Linked DNA regions of Arabidopsis thaliana. The protein of the gene in region 1 interacts with the protein of each later gene in a biochemical or structural test. Each region holds a gene or a part of one and is shown in the gene's direction. Other genes may lie near its edges.

Region 1 (10,927 bases):
CGTTAGATTTTGATCCGGTATTCAATATACCGACCAACTATTGGAAACTTTAATGTTGAACTTAGAGGAAGATTTTTTTTTTTTTTTTTTTTTAAAATGTTCTATGTTTATCTACGTTACATATTCTAAAAACAAAATGCGAACTTCCGAAAAGTCGTTTAATTCTACGATTGGTTTGTCTTCTAATTCATAAATGAATTTAGTGAAAGTTTTTATACGAACACGTGCGTATGTGTGTATAGTACATTGTTTCTATTGGTGTGCATAGATTCTTTATGATAAAATTATAGAAAGAGACAGCAATCTTCTTAGGTTTAACTAATGTCAATTATTGGTTTTGTAGGGCTAAATCGGTGCAGGAAAAGTTGTAGACTAAGATGGTTAAACTATTTGAAGCCAAGTATCAAGAGAGGAAAATTTAGTTCTGATGAAGTTGATCTTCTTCTTCGTCTTCATAAGCTTCTAGGAAATAGGTATAATTTACTTTATTCTACTTATTTAACGAGCAATAAGTCTAATACTAGTAACTCGTATGTATACGTAGGTGGTCCTTGATTGCTGGTCGATTACCTGGTCGGACCGCTAATGATGTCAAGAACTACTGGAACACCCATCTGAGTAAGAAGCATGAACCGTGTTGTAAAACTAAGATAAAAAGGATAAATATTATAACCCCTCCTAATACACCGGCCCAAAAAGTCGATATTTTTTAGCCTCGGCCTCGATTCTTCTCTATAAAAACCGGCTGCAACCATCTCGATGGACAGTCTGAAGTTGGTGTAATTCCTCCATGCCTTGGACTCGACAACGATAATGTTTGTGAAAATAGTATCACATGTAACAAAGATGATGAGAAAGATGATTTTGTGGATAATTTTATGGTTGGAGATAATATATGGTTGGAGCGTTTGCTAGACGAGGGCCAAGAGGTAGATGTGCTGGTTACAGAAGCGGCGGCAACAGAAAAGGAGGGCACTTTGGCGTTTGACGTTGAGCAACTTTGGAATTTGTTCGATGGAGAGACTGTGATCTTTGATTAGTGTTTATAAACGTTTGTGTTCTCTTGTTTGTGAGGTTTCTCTATTTAATTTAGTATCTATTTTCTAAATTAACTAATATCTTATAGTATTTTAGGCAAACCTTATGTTTCCGTTTCTGTGTGAGTTTACATTTTGTAAAAAATAAAAAAATAAGAATATATATATTTTGGAATTTTAGATTTTTATTTGAGATTATTTGCATTTGGAATTTTGGATTTTCATTACTTCATAAGTTTTGGACCAATGGTGTTGTACAATGTATATATCTTTTTGGCAATATACATGCCTAATTTTCTTAACAGCAACCGTTGAACTTGTATCATATATTAGTAACTACAGAGACATTAGATTTTGTAAGTATGCGCTATATAATAATAGATTCTTGTACGTGCATAGTGTTTTGCTATGGGCCAACCGGAGAACGGAAATGGACTTCTGATAGAGTGATTGATATATTGGTGTTTTATATTGAAAGGTCACACACTTACACATGTGTTACAAATTGTTTAAAAGATCTATCAAATTCCAATATGTTCAACGCCGTATATGCAAAATATAATAATCGAGTACATTCAATTCTGGCTTACTTTGATTTCGTGTTGGATCCAATGTTCAAAAAATTGTTAGAATGTAATTAGGTGTTCTGTAGGGACCTAACATGTCTAGAGCAATTTATAGGAGTCTAAACAAGGTCTAGTTAGAAAAATTGTTTAATTTTTTTTTTCTTTCATAAATTGGATAGCAAAACATATAATCTGTACAATATGGATTGCTAAAAACGTTATTTATTTGAATTTGTAATATCTGTTTACACCTAGTTTATATGAAAACTAGTTAGTATAGTTCCATTAGTAAAGTAAAAAAATCGGTACTAACTAAATAATAATGTATAATTTTAATAGTCATGCATCTTAATTATTTTCTTTTCTACGAGGGCTGATCGCGGATCAGTCGATAAGGTTTTTACAAAAAAATAATATTATTTTCTTAATTTCACTTATCTTAAACAATGTCATTAAACCCGTTGGTTTGGCCCATTTGACGATCAATACTTATTTTGAACGCTTAAATAAATAAATTGGAGTGCTTAGAGTCTCATGCGGAATTACTGAAGGCTCATGAGCATTTAGATGGACGTCTAGTCTGAAATTTGTTTGGCACGTATACAGTAGATATTGGTAAACTATTAGATATTCAAAGGACCTGATGATGTATTTGTAGGGTCTAATTGGTTCGGTTCGATTTTCAACTTCATTCAACGCACAACGCATAACTTGCCATTCAACTACTAACCTAAGTTATCTAACCACTAGTCAGATAAAATATAAATTATATTAACAAAAAATATAACTCTTCATTCTTCGGAAAAACTGACCGGTTAGAATGGTTTGAATGAATGACAATTAAACAAGCAAAAAAAATGTTCACCAAAACAGAACAAGCAAAAAACAGTAAGAATGACAATTGTACATTCATTTAGTCAATATTTTTCTAAAACAGAAGTATAGTTTTTGTGAATATCACTTAGAATTCTTTGAGCGCAAGTCATACAACAAAAACATTCAGAAAAGTCATATAATGTTGGCTCAAGTGCTAGCATAGAAAAAGAGAGAGGATGATGTTTAGAGTATATAAAATGCTGTTTTCGGAATATTCTCTGGATATGAAATTATCAGTCTGTTTTACTCAAAATAATAATAATCACAGTCTCTGTCATCTGATATTTGAACGATGTTCAGTTGAAAAGAAATGTCTGTCTATAAAAGCTTTTTTTTTTTTTTTTTGATAATACCTGTCTATTAAAGTTACGGTATATTTCTATAAATTTGAAAATAAACAATTATTGTGTATGATTAGCTTCGTACGTGGGATGAATCCAAAGTGGAAAGTATTGGACCCAAACTGGAGACTTTTATATGAAAATGACTTCACACCTTACCGCTTTTATGAGATTCTGTCTCATTTGTGAAATTGTTTGTGGACAATGGCGCATGCACGTTTCTTTCCCTTTTTGTACCCCAGAGAAAAAAATATCTTCGCTTTATATTTTGAAATATTATATTATTACATATTATGTTAGATAAGTAAGATACAAAAAGTTGAAAATAAACGTTATTAATGATAAATTTAAGAAAACGAGGTTTTTATTGATAAAAAGTAGATTATGATTAAAATAATTATATATAGTGTGAGACACTGAATTTTGGATGTATCATATAAAAATTTTAATTTCGTATTCAGCAATTTATTATCAATAGTAGCATAAATTTAACATGTGTGTTGTGAACGTAAACGTGTTATAGTATTTGGTTCGATTCAAACATGCTTAAGTGTTGAGCAAGAACTATTTTGTCATTTGAGCTTCGGTCTGGATGATTATCTATAATGGATTCTTGGGAAACTCATTGCTTAGGGATCTGCTCACCACATGATCAAAGAGGAACTTATCTGGAACATGTTGACTCATTTTTGATTATATGTATCAATCCAATTTGCTATACACGATTCTCAAAAGAAGAACTAAGCTAAGGTGATTGGTTTTAGTTGTTGTTGGGAATGTGTCACACACTAAAATATAAGAAAATATGTAAAACGGATGAAATAATTTTCAAAAGACATTTTTTTTTTTGTCGAATAATATTAAAAGACCAATTACTGTAATTTAGTCTCAAAGTGATAGATTATCCAAGGAAACTAGTTTTTTTTTTAAGTAGTAAAGGGTTATTTAAAAAAGGTTATAGATCATTCTCGCTTTTTTAGCAAATATATATGTATATTTTTTTGCGCTATAACTTTCTTATAAAAGAAAACTTACTAGTCTTTTCTCTAAGAGAGCTAAAATAATTGTAATAGCCATTGTTGTTAGGGTTTTTGGCAAGGAAAAAACTATCCAAATTATAAAAATATCATTGTCTGCATGTTTATAAAGGATGGTAGTCTTTTCTCTTAGAGAGATAAAATATAACTGTAATTACCTTCAAGTTGCAAATAATAAAAATCAACTCCACGAAATCTAATTTAACCTGCAATATAATCATCGGTCACCACTTTCAATTTTCCAAAATTGTAATAAATATTATATCAAATCAAAACTTTTACAATAAAAAGCCTATTTTTCGAATTTAAGAATACTAATATATGTGACTGTACTAAACTCATTTAAGATGCACGTTATGGTTATGTTGCACATTAAATTCAACTTCCTAAGTTTGATCTGCATTCTTTATAAATTGGGGGGGGGGGTAAACTTGTAGAAAACATTTTTGAAGGATTTTTTTTTTTTTTTTTTTTTTTTTTTTGCATAAAACTCATTTTTCACAGTGAAATCTGCACCACCAAAAGGCAAAAGTTATATATAATTTGCAATGTTAAGGATAGATTACTGTTATTTTTTCTGTATTCATGTCAAAGAAATATGTGCATCATCAAAAATATTTAATCATAGAAAATAATTAAATAATTAAATCAGATGATAAATGTAATCAAATAATATATATTTTTCTTATAAATTTTACGTCCACGCATAGCATTGATTAGAACCTAGTACTATGTGGAAAGTTGTAACTTTTAGTTATTTGGTTTAGCTTGTATGTTACATTGAGAGTTACATATATAGTAGTAACAACTAGTGGAGACCAAAAGAGGTCGACGATGTCGAGACAAAAAAGAATGTGAAAAAGTATAAAATAGAAATGAAAAAAGATTGGCAGATGAAAGGGAGTATCAAATTATTGTGGGAATTGAAGTCGCTTCTATCGGATAACTACACGACTAGGTATTGCTTATGCAAATAAGCTATCTATCACGGCACATGAGTAGCCCAAGATGTTTTACTTCAAGCAGGCTAAGCGATTTATACGCTACATTAAATGGACCACAAGCTTGGGGTTGTATTTCAAATCCAGAAATGAATTGGGCTGGAAGCATGGAAGATATTAGAAGCACAATGGCTATGTGTTTCATGCTTGGAAAATTTGTTCTCTTTGCAACCACGGAAGCAATCGATCATTGCATATTGACATGAAATGTGGATATCAAACATGCACGCTCTTCTTGTACATATATAATAGCTCACATACTCTCATTGTCAAATGTCTTTCAAGGATTTGTGTAAGCCATAGTATGTATACCCTCTTCATCAGCAATTTACTTATAAGTTTTTAAATAATTTGGTTGTGATACTTTTAGTGATTATCTTTGGTTCATGGAGGCTTCTTCGTCCACTGAGTTGAAGAAAGGTACATGGGATGGTGAAGAAGATAGTCTCTGAGGCAGTGCATTGATAAGTATGGAGAAGGCAAATGGCATCAAGTTCCTTTAAGAGCTGGTATATATACTATTGTTGTAAACTATTGAGTCACTTATATTGATTAGACACAAGTTTATATTCCTCACACACAAATCTAATTTATTTACATAATGTAATTATCCAATACAACTTGTTCCAATGCAAGCTTAGATGGTCACCGATTGCCGGTAGATTGCCTGGTCGGATCGCTAATAATGTCAAGAATTACCGGAACACCCATCTCAACAAGAAAGAAGAACCGTGTTGTAAGAGCAGAATGAGAAAGAGGGAAACTACATGTTCAGCTACGTCACCGATCCAAAGACTCAATGTTATAAAGCCTCGAACTCAATTCTATAACGGCCGGCTCAACGGGCAGCCAGAAGTTAGCTCTTTCAAAGTAAGCATTAACAAATATGGTGGTATCAGATTCACATGTAACAATGATAAGACGAAATATGAGTTTGTGAACATTATTTGCAAAATTTTCAGTAAAGAAAAATACTCCAAAAGTTTTTGTAAGAAGGTGCACCCTATTTTTTTTATTTTGTTCTATTTCTCGTGCATGAAATAACTCTTCCTTGTAATCATGAACCCTCTGAGACCAATCATTACTAGTCCTTTCTCCTAATTTTGATAAGAAACGTGTAATTTGTTTTTCTTAAGTACTGGAAAAGGTGCTATGAACTTTTTCTCTAGTCAAATCAAACAATAACTTAGTAAATTAAGCAGAACCGCAAATACATGAAATGTGGATATCAAACATGCACGTCATTTTCCTATGCCCTTCACGTGTATATATATACCTATTCGCTCACATGCTCACATTATCAATAAGTCCTCCCAGGATTTGGGAAGCCACAATAACCCCCTATTCCTCGGCCTTTTTTAAAAAAGTTTTAGAATAATCCGATAAAATACTTTTATATTAATTTTTCTTTGGTCCATGGAGGGTTCGTCCAAAGGGTTGAGGAAAGGTGCATGGACTGCTGAAGAAGATAGTCTCTTGAGGCTATGTATTGATAAGTATGGAGAAGGCAAATGGCATCAAGTTCCTTTGAGAGCTGGTATGTTACACACACAGATATATTCATGACTAAGAATATTCTCTTCTCTATATATAATATTCGGAAATCTTTATTTTACTTTTCTTTTTGTTTTAAGGAGCAAATTATTGATTCATATGCTAGTGTATGGTAAAACAAAAAAAAACAAAAAAAACAACTGGTTATTCAGAATAATTCTTTATGCAGTTTATTTAAACGAAGAGTTTTATATAAATAAAAAAGTTATACTATTTTTTATTTACGTAGCATATATATATATATATATATATATATATATATATATATAGCTTATTCTTCACAAACAAGGAAGATGCTAAGCTCATGTAAAGTTGTTAAACTATTTCACTGGGCTGTCTTCTGGTGAGTGAAGTCAGTGAAAATTTATGAACAAACGGTTACTGTGTTGAAACAGTTTAATCTTTCTATTGGTGTGCTTAGATTCTTCAAGATGAAACATAGAAAATGACCCAAAAGCCGTCTTGGTTGGTATAATTAATGTCAACTATTGGTTATGTAGGGCTAAATCGATGCAGAAAGAGTTGTAGACTAAGATGGTTGAACTATTTGAAGCCAAGTATCAAGAGAGGAAGACTTAGCAATGATGAAGTTGATCTTCTTCTTCGCCTTCATAAGCTTCTAGGAAATAGGTATTGTTTACTTTAATGGTTATTTCAAGAGCCATAAGTTCAACACTAATAACTTATATGTATATTATTTAACAATGTTTAGGTGGTCCTTGATTGCTGGTCGATTGCCTGGTCGGACCGCTAATGATGTCAAAAATTACTGGAACACCCATCTGAGTAAAAAACATGAGTCTTCGTGTTGTAAGTCTAAAATGAAAAAGAAAAACATTATTTCCCCTCCTACAACACCGGTCCAAAAAATCGGTGTTTTTAAGCCTCGACCTCGATCCTTCTCTGTTAACAATGGTTGCAGCCATCTCAATGGTCTGCCAGAAGTTGATTTAATTCCTTCATGCCTTGGACTCAAGAAAAATAATGTTTGTGAAAATAGTATCACATGTAACAAAGATGATGAGAAAGATGATTTTGTGAATAATCTAATGAATGGAGATAATATGTGGTTGGAGAATTTACTGGGGGAAAACCAAGAAGCTGATGCGATTGTTCCTGAAGCGACGACAGCTGAACATGGGGCCACTTTGGCGTTTGACGTTGAGCAACTTTGGAGTCTGTTTGATGGAGAGACTGTTGAACTTGATTAGTGTTTCTCACCGTTTGTTTAAGATTGTGGGTGGCTTTTCTTTCGTATTTTAGTAATGTATTTTTCTGTATGAAGTAAAGAATTTCAGCATTTTAAGAAAAATGGTTATGTTTCTACGTAATAAAAAAAAACGTTATTTATATTTTTCGCAAAGAAAATACAGTATTTTCCTAAATGCAGTATTTTCTAACTAAAGTTAAAGGTGATAATGTTTGTTAAAATATCACTCAACCTAACCATAGAAAATTCAAAAGCATAAGAAAGTTTTAACCATGAAAGATATGTCTTATGGCAAGTAGACATGGTGGAAGGTTGTATGGTAATGTGGTATTTCACAAGCATAAGAAAGTTATAATTAAGATCTGTTTGGTCTAACCGTTAAAATAATAGCTAGTTTAAGTACAGTAGTAAACATAATTATTTAATATTATCTTACAAAAATTATTTGATTGATACAATAATGGAAGCAAGTAGGGTTAGGAAAAATGGATACACTATTCGTTCTGCAACAAATAAATGACAATGTACTATTGTAGTACTTGTAATTGTTTCCCTCCCCCCCCCCCCCCACCACACACACACAGACACACACCACTCTCCTGAATTAATTAGAGTAGTTATATGAAATCATATATTAATTATTGATTATGTTTGCTCAAAACTGTTGACATTTCTACGTTTTTCATGCAAGATTCAATGAAAGACGGCGGAAAAAAGCATGATATATTTAACTCTCAAATATGATATATTTTCTGTTCCTAATTATCCAAGCTTTAAAGTTCTTACAGATTAAGGCCATGAATGTTTTGTTGATTTTGGTGGGTTTTTGGATTCTAAATTTTGGCTTTTGGCTTTTGGTTTTTGATTTTATGAGTTTTTGATTTTGGTGGAGATTTTAGATTTTGCAAAATCTTAAATGGTAACTTTTCTAGTTTTTGATTTTTATATAATTATTATTTAGAAACGTTTTAAAATTATTTATTTTAAAGTTTATTTTTATTTTTCAAAAAAAAAAAAAAAAAAAGAGTTTACGATAGAATTTGTTGAAAATCCCAAAAAAATGGGTTTTGGATTTTAAGAACAAATGACTAGAATCTATAAAAATCTGGATTCCCTATAATTTAGGGAATCAATTTTTTATAAAATCATGAATGGATGAAAAAGTGAATTTTACAAAATTAAAAGCCAAAATCAACTTTAAAAACCAGTACCATTCAAGGCCTAAGAAAAAAGAGAGAAATTTGATCTTAAAAGCATCATTTTGTGATTAATAATTCTTTATAACATTAAATCAATAATATTTAATTATGTTTCATGAAATCTACAATTTGTTTTTTCTGGAAATTTACAATTTATCATCATGAGATTTCCTTCTTTTTCCTCATGTCTATGGACTTCACGTAACAAAAAATTTGCAAGTAAAATCCATTTTCTTTTGGTTGAACTAGTTGCATGGGACAAAAAAAAAGATGCATGGAAACTTTCGCCATTTTTGTATCTATATTCTATGTTCATCGCTCCTCTTAAAAGAATCTTGTCCTTATTGTAAGTTTTGGACCCTCAATGTTGTCATGTATCAATTTAACTCCGTAGCATACGTGTATTCGTGTATCAATGAAGCAATATAGAAATAGCTTACGGAAACGTCTACATCTTTTTGGCTCGACTTGCCAAGTTGTTTTAACCGTAACCGTTGAAATTTTATTATTTAATTAAAATTATTAGAAATTTGATTAGAGTTTTGTAAGTATGTTCGTGTACAATAATACAATTTCGTATACGTGTGTACCGGCAGACGTCATGAATTTTGCTAATATGGGCCAACCCGAGAACATGAAAGGACTTGGTATTGAAAGGTTAGACACGTAGACGTGTTACGATTGAATCTACCAATTCCAACATGTTCAATGTCGTATATGTAAATTGTAAAAACGTAAAAATAAATAAATATATATGCCTTTGAAAGAAAAAAAAGATTGTATCTTTGATTTAAAGTGGATGATTTATTCCGCAAAGAATTTACCCTTCTTGGTTTAGTAATCACTACAATTTCTTCTTCTTAAAACCATAAGTAGCAAGACTCATACGTAAATGGCAATTAACTAAGTTTGATTAATGAATTAAGTACCTAAAACAGTTTTAACTCGAAGAGAAGAGGACAACGGTCCACGCACACTAATCTACCATTCAAGTTTAAGAGCTATAACGAACCTGCCAGTCATATTTCGCATGTATATCTTAAGAAAATACAGTAGATATATTTTCAGTCTTCCCAAATATATATACAAATCTTTACTTTACCACTAAAGAATAACAAATGCACATTCATTAAGTCATTTTTTCAAGACAAGATTATTGATGTGAATATGGGCTTAAATTAATATGCAGTTTTTCATGTTTTATTCCACATTTCAAAACTTAATTTAGCCGAATATATATATATATATATATATATATATATATATATATATTATTTATAATAACTTTATGGTTACATTTGCATGGACTAATGAAACGTTAAAGATAACACGTACCTTTCTTATGTATCTAGCATATTTTAAAATTATAAGTAATTTAGAAAATCTTTTAATGATCAATTAATAGCTAATAATATTTTAATATTTTTGCTATCCTACTAATCTTTTAATGTCAAATTTGCAGTTTAGAATTCTTCAAGCAAACCCTACAACAATAAACTTCCAACTCAAACAAAAGTTGATGCTTACTTCATAAAAATTAATTATTCTGGCTCTAAAAAACATTGCTGGCATTATAATGTTCTGTTTTGAAATCTCTCTAGATATATCATAGAAATGTCGGGAAAAGTCCATTAAAGTATAATCAAGTTCTATCATTTTGAAAGAATACAAAAGATATGATTTCTATCATTTTGAAAGAATAAACAATGATTGTGTATGATTACCTTCTTGGGATGAATCCAAAGTGTGAAAAAATGAACTTGTATATGAAGATGACTCGACTCTTACCGCTTTTATGAGATTGTGTCTCATTTGGAAAATTGTTCGTGGACGATGACCATGCACGTTTCTTTCTCTATTTCTACACAAAAAAAAGCCCTTACTAATTCCTTATCATCAACTGTGTTCTTCACTTATTCTATTTCATAGGAATAGTATAATAATTTTCTTATTACATATTTGAAATATTTTAGCCACTATTAATTATTAGATATTTGAAGTACATAAAAATTGAATATCATTTTATAATGTATATATCTGATTTTCTGTTACAGTAAAAGAAAAATATGTGGAGAAAATGTTGAAAAGTATATCATGGATAATATT
Region 2 (10,927 bases), on another chromosome or scaffold:
AAGTTAAGATTTTGGCCTAAACAAATTAAAGCCAATCACTTGTATAAGTTGAAGAAGTTTTGACCTGCCAAACTAGACCTTCTGGATCTGCCAGAGCCTCTGGGAAATCCTCATGTTGATCAAGTGTCCGTAACTCCACACATGTGAAGTTGAGAGCAGCATCATGTTTCTTAAACATTGCAGCTATTGGACCATAGCCATCACGGTTTGAGGAGTTGTAGAAGCCAGCAGTGAGTTCAGCAGCATGACTAGCTGTTTTATACCACCAGTGTATACCTGAGAGCTGATTTCCAAAAATGGATAGACAAACAAATGGTTCTATCAACACAAGCCAGAAAAATATAGTATAATATAGTGCACTAGCCCCATCAATAGAGCTTTGTTTACCTTTGCAGCAATGCAAGTTCCTTCGAAAGCCAAATTTGCCATAGCAAGAACACGATCACCATGGTCAATCAGAACTCTTGAGTACCAATTAAGAAAGAATCTACCATAGTAGCTGTCATAATCGCCTCCATCGCGAAAAAATCCAGTCCCATGTGGTGTTGAATTATAAGTCTCTGTGTTATCAGGTCCTCTGCCCCAAAAGCTGTGGCCTCTTACTTCTGCAGCCTCCTTTAAGCTATTCATCAAATATTTATCATAACACTGCGCAGATAGGACAGCACAGCAGAGAAGATATATCGGTAAGTAAACTAATAAATTAGTTGTCCAAATAGCAATGTAAGATAATAATGTAATTTTGTATACGCTTATGATGCGTCAAAAAGATTACCTGGAATTCACCAATACCAGGGTATTTCCACCCAAATTGTGCAGGGTATGAAGGATACCTCAGCTCCCCACATGGACCTAGTCCAACTTCAATTTCAGGGATGATTTTCTCCTCAAAGAATTCATCAAATTCCACACGAAAGCTTCTCATGTAATCAAAGTAAACCTACATAACAAGTGATTTCATAGAGTCAGTAAACACTTCTTATTACAGATCAACTTCTCATTCTTCCTACTACAACTCGCTGCAGATTACATTCTTCGAATGATAATTTGCTACAGATTTTTTAGCATGGAGTAGTAGAAAGCCATACCTCAAGAGCAGTCCGTCCTCTTAAAACACGTTGCTTGTCAATTCCCCAAGTAAGGCATTCAGTGTTACGCCTGCCAGCACTGTCAGTGAAGTAGATGTCAGGATTGCTTTGACCAATTTCTCTCACCCACTCAGGGATTTGTATATGCACATCATCTCCAACATTGCCTCCACATTCGTGAAACGACATAACAACCTGAAGTCAATTCAAGTCAAGAACACTTTAAAAAGGTTCATCCTCAACTCTGCATATCTTTCACTAAACTGAACTGAGACTCATCGATCAAATAACATTACCTGAATCTTAAGTCCAAGCTCACGAATCATCTGAAAAAGTTTCTTGTAACCACTCCAGTTATAAACCTGTGGTGTATGTGACTCAACAATTCCCCACCAGCAGTCAACCATAACACCATCAACATTAACCGACTTTAAAGTTCTTAACTGATCCAAAAGCTCCTCCGGTTCCACCACTTCCGAGTTCATATCAATCACTCCCAGCTACATCATTCAACAGCCAAATCAACCAAACACACACACAAATCTCTAGCCAACAAAAATAAAATCAAAAGAAGACTCACTGGTAGCATAACATATACAGGAACACACGCTGTGCCAGCAAAATCACGCTCTTCGAAATGCACAATTTCTTCATCAACCTAACAAAACGAAGAGTAAAATTGATTCTGGTCACAAACGAGTGAATCATCCAAATGAAATTCCACACTTACGAGCTGATCAGTAGAATCGTCGTCGTCATCAATTGGAACTCGATCTTCCTCAGTACTCTCTGCTCTCAGTTTCACCTTCGCGAGAACCAAAGGCCTAGCACCGGAAAATGTAGAAACACCACGCCAATCTCCAACGCTGAACGGTAACGAGCTCCGAGCCGATACTCTCGTCGGAGCTCCAAGCTTCACGCTCACTGGAATTACACTATGATTCAACCTAATCGCCATCACTAAACCAAAATTATCTCAAATTCAGTTAAAATTGGATTTTCGTGGAATGTGAAATCAAAAGCCACGTGAAGGCTTATTCATGGGATCCAAGAATCATTGGTTGGTTCAAATCAATTTTGAAATCCTAAAAAAGTTTTCAGGATTCACTCAGATCCGTTGAGTACAAAAGGGTTTTGTCTTTTACCACTTTTTTTCTAATCCACGTGGCGTGACCTGACACGTCAGATAAGTACGCGCGTTGCAACTTTATCAAGGGGCTTTTGTGAATATTACTATGGGCTTTTCAGAATATATTATTGGGCCTGTAAAGTCACGTCACTAAAAAAAGTAGTTTATCTACATCAAATGTGTTTATTATTTAATAACTTTAGTGTGTTGTTGTACTTGCACGAGTGTATATGAATTTAGAATAATACTATCTTAAACAATCGGCTAAGCTATTTATAATCTGTAAGATTGATACTAACGATGTAACATTAATGTATTAATCCGAAGACAGTCGTGCATTGTAGTGGCAAATGTTGTATGTCAGATGTGTCGCGTCTGTAATCAATGCGCTACGTCTCTCTGTCTTAACAAAATCATTGAAGCTTTAAATTTGAATTTCATTATTTTACAATTGCATTTCTCTCGTAAGTCGTAACTTTCATATTCATTTTTTGAAGATTTTTTAAGGATAAAATGTGAATTACTATTACCAAAAGAAACATTGTTATTTACTTTGGGACAGCTTCTAGATATGGACCCCAACAAAAAAAAAAAAAAAAAAAACTGAAACTAATACAAGTCAAGACCCAACTATAGTAACTAGGTTTGGGTGAACCATTGGGACAACAATCTTCCACAACCTTTGCGATATTGTCACGGATGGTTATGTCAATCTGCCACAAAACAATCTTAGGAGAGAACTTGAAGTGTTGTGCAATCTCTCATTTCTTTCTCTCCGAAGAAAGAAAATTGTTGCTTGTATAATGAGAATTAAAGACTTCAAGTTCTCACTCAACTTTAAATTTATCTAACTTTTCTCTTTGTCGTGGTTCATGTCGCTTCTTTTTCATCCTGAATGCAATTTGATATAGGATCCCATTGGTTAGGATTGTATATGTTTTGTAAAATTTAGGGTAATATATAGACTTTTATACTATAATTTTATTATTATATACATTTAAAAAATGTCTAGGGCATCTAAAATTAAATTAATTGTTTCTATGAAAATAGAAAATATAAACACAAACATATGGCTATAATGAGTGTGTTGTGCCAACAGAAATAATTTATAAAATTAAACACAAAGTTTTGTCGTTATGGAAATAAATGTGCATGCAACCACAAGTGGTGCGTTACTAAATTATGTAGGGCTTCGTGGATAGAGATGGATCAATTATTATTTTCACGAGTTTCTTGCCTTCATTTCAGCCAGCTCTCTCCTGATCTTGCCTTCAATTTTATTACTATTTTTTTACTGCCACTTGCTATATTTACTTACTTCGGACAAAATAGTGCTTTGATGGTAAACAAATAACGATCGGTATATGCGATGTCTCGCGATTGATTATCAAACTTGAACAGTAGTGTGTATTTGTTTAATATATAATCTATTAGAGTATCATGGAATTATTCGGGTGAAATGCGCATTTATATCTATCATAGAAACTAGAATCTTCACTATCCAAATAGTATATTCCATTTTCTTGCAACTACGTATAACTACATTCTGTTTGTCATATATTTAAGATCGAGTAACAAAAAATTAATCATCTTCATTGATGTGAGCCAGACAAAGAGTTCAATTTTTTTGGTTGTTAAAGTATGTTGATACTTGATACGTTTACCAAAACACAAAAAAACAATGTAGGTCGATACGTTCCATTTCCACACAACAAGATAGATACAAATATATAATGATTGTAAGACAATAAGACCCCGACATGTCTTAACACGAAAAAAAAAGTAACTAAGTTTATATAAACCAACACAAGTTTAACTAAGAATCTAAGAATCTCTACTTTGTTGATTTCATAAGTGTATTCATCTAAATTAGTTATAAGTACAATGTAATATCAACATGTATTTATATTGTCTCTTGTTGGATATTAACTATCCAAACCAAACCTATAATATGAAATCATCAAAACATTAATCATTATGGTCAAACTATCTCAAGTTGTATTCTTTAAAAAGTGTCACGATAAACTCTAACATCATAGTGGATTTAAGACAACACAAATCCAAAAGAGTTAAAAAGATCGGTCTTAAATTTATGATTCATATCCATGCATGATGTTGGCCAATCACCTAGTATAGTAGTAATAACCAAGCTTTTGACTAAATGAATAGGAGGAAACAAAAAAACTATATTGAATCTTTCTTTTTGCAATATTTTTCAGCATCATCACTAATTTAGAGAATATTTTACCTTGGTTTTCACCAAATAGAATCCAACACTATTACCATATGTATTGTATAAAGATAAGTCACTCCAAAAACCAAGATCATGACCCAAGTCAACCACTCTCTCTCATAATTCAGACACAGTACTCAACTTTAAAGACACTCTTTTAAGACTTTCCATCAGGACCAAGCTGAGAAAGAGAAAGCAATAAAGAAAGAAAGAAAAGGAAATAAAGCTTCAATACCAAACCCTTCTTTAATAAATTTTGCCTTTTGGTTGTCTCCTCTTTATCAATCACTTTGGTTCCATACTTTTAAATTCAGTTCTTCACGATATCTAGATATGTCTTTGACAATGGCTGATGGTGTAGAAGCTGCAGCAGGAAGAAGTAAAAGACAAAACAGCTTATTAAGAAAACAACTTGCTTTAGCTGTAAGAAGTGTTCAATGGAGCTACGCAATCTTCTGGTCGTCTTCACTTACTCAACCTGGGTAAGTATAATCTAATATTCATCATGTACCAAAATTATCAGATCTTGTTGTTCTCATCTTTGCATTTCCATTTTCTCTTCTTTTAAATCTTGGGTTACTTATGAGTACTATGTTCTACTAATTTAGGGTTTTGGAGTGGGGAGAAGGATGTTACAATGGAGATATGAAGAAGAGGAAGAAGAGTTATGAATCTCATTATAAATATGGGTTGCAAAAAAGCAAGGAGCTTCGGAAACTTTATTTGTCTATGCTTGAAGGAGACAGTGGTACTACTGTTAGTACTACTCATGATAATCTCAATGATGATGATGATAATTGTCACAGTACAAGTATGATGCTGTCACCAGATGACCTCTCTGATGAAGAGTGGTACTATTTAGTCTCCATGTCCTATGTCTTCTCTCCTTCACAATGGTTTGTTCTCTCACTCTCTCTCTCTCTTCTCCTATGAATTTGTACACTAAAATATATTAGCTCTTGTGAACTATTCATATAGAAAAACCAATTTGCAATAAAGAAGTAATGAGAAATGTCCTTTCATTTTAAGATGAAACATCCATCACTTTGGGTAAAGAGTTTAGTACCACCAAAACCATTTGGTAAATAGTGGAGTGATTATTCCTTTGGGGTTCCTTTTTGTTACACTTTCACCTTTTGCATTTTAAGTAATCCTAGATTAAGTTTTTTTTTTCTCTTTTATGATCATTAATTATTGTCATTTTGGCTTTTTTGGTTGTTTATGTATATACTTTAGTTTGCCTGGAAGAGCTTCAGCGACGGGTGAGACCATATGGCTCTGCAACGCTCAATATGCGGAGAACAAGCTCTTCTCTCGTTCTTTGTTAGCAAGAGTAAGTTCTCAGAAACTTCTAATTTCCTCTTCTTGAATCTTGATATATCAAGATCGAATCTGACTAAAAATCTCCTTTGATCTTCTTTGCTTTTCATTACTGTTCATATGGCTTCTCTCCTTTAGAGCGCATCAATTCAGGTACGTTATAATGTTTGTTATAACTGGATTCTGATTGTTAGAAATAAAAGTTTAGTTCTCTTATTGTTAGAAATGAAAGTTTAGTTATCTATATATCAATTTGGATAGAAGATTTATAGAATGTATCTGTGTTGTTATCTCCAGACTGTTGTGTGTTTCCCTTACTTGGGCGGAGTCATTGAGCTGGGCGTCACTGAATTGGTAACTCTCCATCTTAATATATAAAGTTTTACTTTTGTTGCTTGCTTCACAAGAATTAAATATACCTTACTTTGTTTAATTTTGTTCATGATCAATGAAAGATTTCAGAAGACCATAACCTGCTTCGAAACATCAAATCTTGCTTGATGGAAATATCTGCACACCAAGACAACGATGACGAGAAGAAGATGGAGATTAAGATCAGTGAAGAGAAGCATCAGCTTCCATTAGGTATTTCTGATGAAGACTTGCATTACAAAAGAACCATTTCAACAGTACTCAACTACTCCGCAGATAGATCAGGTAAGAACGATAAGAACATTCGTCATCGTCAGCCAAATATTGTTACTTCTGAACCTGGCTCAAGTTTCTTGCGGTGGAAGCAATGTGAGCAGCAAGTCTCGGGTTTTGTTCAGAAAAAAAAGTCACAGAATGTGTTGCGGAAGATATTGCATGATGTCCCTTTGATGCACACAAAGAGAATGTTCCCAAGTCAGAACTCTGGTCTGAATCAAGATGATCCTTCAGATAGAAGAAAAGAGAACGAAAAGTTCAGTGTCCTTAGAACTATGGTTCCCACTGTCAACGAGGTAATAACTCTTTTTCTAAATCCTTAGAGACAAGACTGTGTTTCAGAAGCCAACACTCTGTTTTGAATCTTTGTGCAGGTTGATAAAGAATCGATACTAAACAACACAATCAAGTACCTGCAAGAACTGGAGGCAAGAGTAGAAGAGCTAGAATCTTGTATGGGATCAGTTAATTTTGTAGAAAGACAAAGAAAGACGACAGAGAACCTTAACGACTCTGTGTTGATCGAAGAGACATCAGGGAACTACGATGATAGCACGAAGATCGATGACAATTCAGGAGAAACCGAACAAGTCACTGTTTTCAGAGATAAGACACATTTGAGAGTTAAACTCAAAGAAACAGAAGTTGTGATCGAAGTAAGATGTTCTTACAGAGACTACATAGTTGCGGACATCATGGAAACTCTGAGCAATCTTCACATGGATGCTTTCTCTGTTAGATCTCACACGCTCAATAAGTTCCTCACATTGAATCTCAAGGCCAAGGTAAATTAATCTTACTGATGTTTGGAAAAGGCAGATTTGGGTTTTCTTGACTTACACGTAACGTTTTTGGGTTTATGCATGCAGTTTCGCGGGGCTGCAGTTGCGTCCGTAGGAATGATTAAGCGAGAGCTGAGAAGAGTCATTGGTGATTTGTTTTAATGTTCTTCTTAGTAAAAATTCTTATATTTTCTTAAACTTTTGATGAAATGTTATATTTATCTAGACTTTCGTGAACCGATATGCGATGTGCCATTATCTTTACATCAAGTTTTCAGGGTTTTTGTATGTAAAGTTTGCCAAAGTTTGGTTGGAATTTTCGACAACGTTGTCTCTTCCTCTTCTACAAAACCAAGATCTATACTTATTCATAATTCATGGGCGATTTGTATCTTTCATTAATGATTGTTTTGAGCTATTATATTATTTGTATTGATAGAAAAAAATAACCAATTGGCTTTGGCTCAACTTCTTTCCCGTGAAGAGGATGGATCATATACATATCCTATTGTAATTTGAATGAACCCTATTGGGTCAAGGATCATGATCTCATGGGAAAGCTAATGAGCTTTATCCACCTCAAAGCCAATTGGTTACTAATGCTTGAACTAAATCTGTCTTATATACTAGCTAAAATTTCCATATGTTTCCGATGTGGGATTTGTTAAAGTTACTAATGCAATTTTTCTGCCGACATTATCATAATAAGTTGTACCTTAAACCTCAAGTAATTGATTTGGTCCTCATAGGCTATTAGGTTTAGTGGGCTTTTGGGCCGTATTAAACCCGTTTGATTAGAAAAGCTAGCGCTCGCCAAAAGCCCTAAACTTGTCTCGTAGCCTCAACCTCTTGATATTATGCTTCGTTTAGGTCGTCATGTGTGATTCTGTGCTTCAGTTTCTTTCTAAATCCTTAAATAAACGGATTGATATTTACTAAACGGAGGATAATGTAACTTGAAAAGGTATTTATTGAAAACTGTTGATTCTTTCTTGAATGCATAATTAATGGTGTTCTCTTGTAACTCATAGAGCCTCCAAAGAAGTAGTAAATGTTATGGTGCGTTATAAAATTTGATTGTTTCACTTGCATTATATATCTCCAATTGATGCAGCCTTCACGCTAATTACCATACACTACTTCTTAATTTCTTAAAGTCTTTTGAGTATTTGATTTTCTTGGATGTCACATATGAAGAGAGGGATATTGGAAGTATTTCTCATTGATGCTCATGGAATCACACACACAAATTTTATCGGTGATTATGAAAAGACAAAACCTTCTTCATATATGTTATATATCAAACTAAAATCGTTATTTTTAATCATTTTGGTTTGTAGGAACTCCTGTGTATTATGTGCTCTTACAATGTGGGACAAAGGAATACCGTAGCAAAATGTCAAAAGGTTCAAGTTTTGTTACTCTTTAGTAATTTTGTTTTTCCTCTTAGCCAAATGTATATTAGAAAACATTTTTGGCTCTTTTATGAAAAAAGGTGATAATGACAATGCATTGTGGAACCAAAAGTTTGTTTTCGATTTCCCGATGTCTCAATGGAAGAAACTGACCTATATCAAATTAAGAATCTTGGACAAAGAGCTCTTCAATGATGGTGGATTTGTCGGTGAAACCATGTAAGTTTTGCTTGCAGAAACTGAAGTTAATGTGGTTTAGCATTAGCAATATCACATATAGTACCATCCTTTTGTTTGTGACTCTTTTTGGTACAGAATTCATCTCGGAGGCATAATAACCGAAGGGCGTGACAGAGGATACATTGAAATAAAACCAGCTCCATACAATGTTGTTCTTGAGGACGATACTTTTAAAGGTGAACTAAAAGTCGGATTGAGATTCATTGCAACAGTAAGTAACTCGGTAACTATCCTAGAATTTCATGAGAATCTTTGTGGAGACTTATTAATCTTAGGTTCATCTTTTTACTAGTACTTTTTGGTGTTTGAGCACATTGAAATATTCAAGAACATCGACAATAACATATAATCTCAAAATTTCTCAAGAAAATTTATTTATTTTTGTAGGATAAATTGCAGAGGAAAGCATGGGAGCTGAAGATGGAGGCCAAAAACAGTGAAGAACTAATGATTTCTCCAATTCAGAATCTGATGAAACTCCCATTACTAAGGTTTCTGCTCTATTGCTTTCGGAAAACAAAACAATATCAACTAAAAGAGAACTAAAATGATTAAAAGGGTTAGCATCAAAACTCTATTAAATTTTGTTTCCAATAATTTTCTATGGTTCGGGCCTGTCAAGGAAAGCGATGACATTTATTTGATTTCTAAGTTTGTGCAAACATTTTAGGTTTATAGCTGCATGGGCAAGAAGGCAATGTCTCATCAATGCAAAACTACTTTATTGTTTCGTCGACTATAAGAAATGCCTTACTCCTTATTCGTAGCTAGGGTTTCTCGATCAACCCTTTCACGGTATCGTGATGGGCAAGAATACGAAACTGTTGATGACTTTAATCTTTTTCACCTTCAATCTTTTAATGTAATGAATGGTCTACATTTATATCTTTTGATGTAACATTTTTCTTACTTTCATTTAATTTTTCAACCCATATAATTACTAATTTTTTGCTACCTAGTTATATGTATGCATTGTCTATACTCCTTAGTTCACTTTCTATTAACTAAAATTTGTTGAATATGTTAGACATACTTATATTAAGTTTATTTTTAAAATATAAGTATATGGAACATATCTCAACAAGTAAATAAAGGTGTATATGTTGAAACTTATTAATATTGTATAATATCATAGTCCATAGTACACTAAAATAATGACCCATAGATTAAGTAAATGCGTAAAATGCGTGTACAACGAGAAAATGGGACGCACGTCTGTCTAACGCACGAACCATGCAAATATATACTTGTCTTCTCCATTACATTAACTTATCATGTGCTAAACTAAATTATAACTATACAACTCAAATTGAAACCATAATACATTACACTAATATAAATATTAACCTATTATGAGTTGCGGTTCATCGTGTAGGCTACATGGGGATAAGCCAATCTCCAACCATGTGATAATTGGTCTAATTTAATAAACGGTTGACACATAGAATTAAAATAAAATTCCCAATGGAGGTGTTACTATAGACCGACCAAAGATTACTTCTTAAAAATATAAAGGTCAAGGGATGATATATACATTGAACATTCACCCACATCTCATCTTCAATCAAAGATATTTTCATATAATTGAATACATATATGGGGTTCAACAAATTATAATTCTAAATTTACATTAGATGTCTAAATTCGTAAAAGTGAAAAGAAAATATATATAAATTGATCATTGGTCGAATGTGCAATCATCAATAACTAAACATATGTATAATTTCCCATTGGAGCTAATAATTTATTTGTGGGTGTGGAGGGATCCAATAATCAAAATGAAAAATTCTGATTGAAAACTATAGTCTATATTTTAAGCCAACAAGAAAATGATAAAGTATAGTAGCCAAATAGACAAATAGGTGTTAAAGAGGTATTTGTATGATTTCTCATAGAACCAAAAACACTTGTTGAAGCCAAGGAAAAGTCACTTCAATTCATCGTCTGGATCGTACGATCAGTCTACCTTCCTTTCATCGGACGGTCCACATTTACTCCATTTTCCGGTCGCCGGCTTAAAGAACGATTTCGATTCAACCGGAGGGAATTTGGTTTTTTTATTAACGTTCAAA

Evidence for each region. The genes of interacting proteins can lie anywhere in the genome.
Region 2: the proteins of MYB90 (region 1) and ATMYC1 form a complex in vitro, tested with the Arabidopsis thaliana proteins (one study listed by BioGRID).

The regions. Positions count from the first base shown.
Region 1 is NC_003070.9:24,757,778-24,768,704, forward strand, and holds MYB90 (myb domain protein 90), read left to right. Parts: upstream 1-6,163; 5' UTR 6,164-6,274; coding exon 6,275-6,395; intron 6,396-6,912; coding exon 6,913-7,042; intron 7,043-7,124; coding exon 7,125-7,623; 3' UTR 7,624-7,764; downstream 7,765-10,927. Other genes in the region: MYB114 (myb domain protein 114), read left to right, coding at 344-473, 545-713. UniProt on the Arabidopsis thaliana protein: Transcription activator, when associated with BHLH12/MYC1, EGL3, or GL3. Promotes the synthesis of phenylpropanoid-derived compounds such as anthocyanins.
Region 2 is NC_003075.7:213,541-224,467, reverse strand, and holds ATMYC1 (basic helix-loop-helix (bHLH) DNA-binding superfamily protein), read left to right. Parts: upstream 1-4,686; 5' UTR 4,687-4,783; coding exon 4,784-4,932; intron 4,933-5,058; coding exon 5,059-5,346; intron 5,347-5,686; coding exon 5,687-5,783; intron 5,784-5,908; coding exon 5,909-5,923; intron 5,924-6,067; coding exon 6,068-6,124; intron 6,125-6,225; coding exon 6,226-6,714; intron 6,715-6,792; coding exon 6,793-7,203; coding exon of another isoform or gene 7,204-7,212; exon of another isoform or gene 7,213-7,234; intron 7,235-7,287; coding exon 7,288-7,348; coding exon of another isoform or gene 7,349-7,362; exon of another isoform or gene 7,363-7,426; coding exon 7,427-7,602; 3' UTR 7,603-7,656; downstream 7,657-10,927. Other genes in the region: BAM2 (beta-amylase 2), read right to left, coding at 65-283, 388-648, 776-940, 1,089-1,283, 1,385-1,588, 1,669-1,746, 1,819-2,046; AT4G00467 (Calcium-dependent lipid-binding (CaLB domain) family protein), read left to right, coding at 8,392-8,458, 8,541-8,606, 8,696-8,834, 8,931-9,066, 9,243-9,346, 9,526-9,622. UniProt on the Arabidopsis thaliana protein: Trancsription activator, when associated with MYB75/PAP1 or MYB90/PAP2.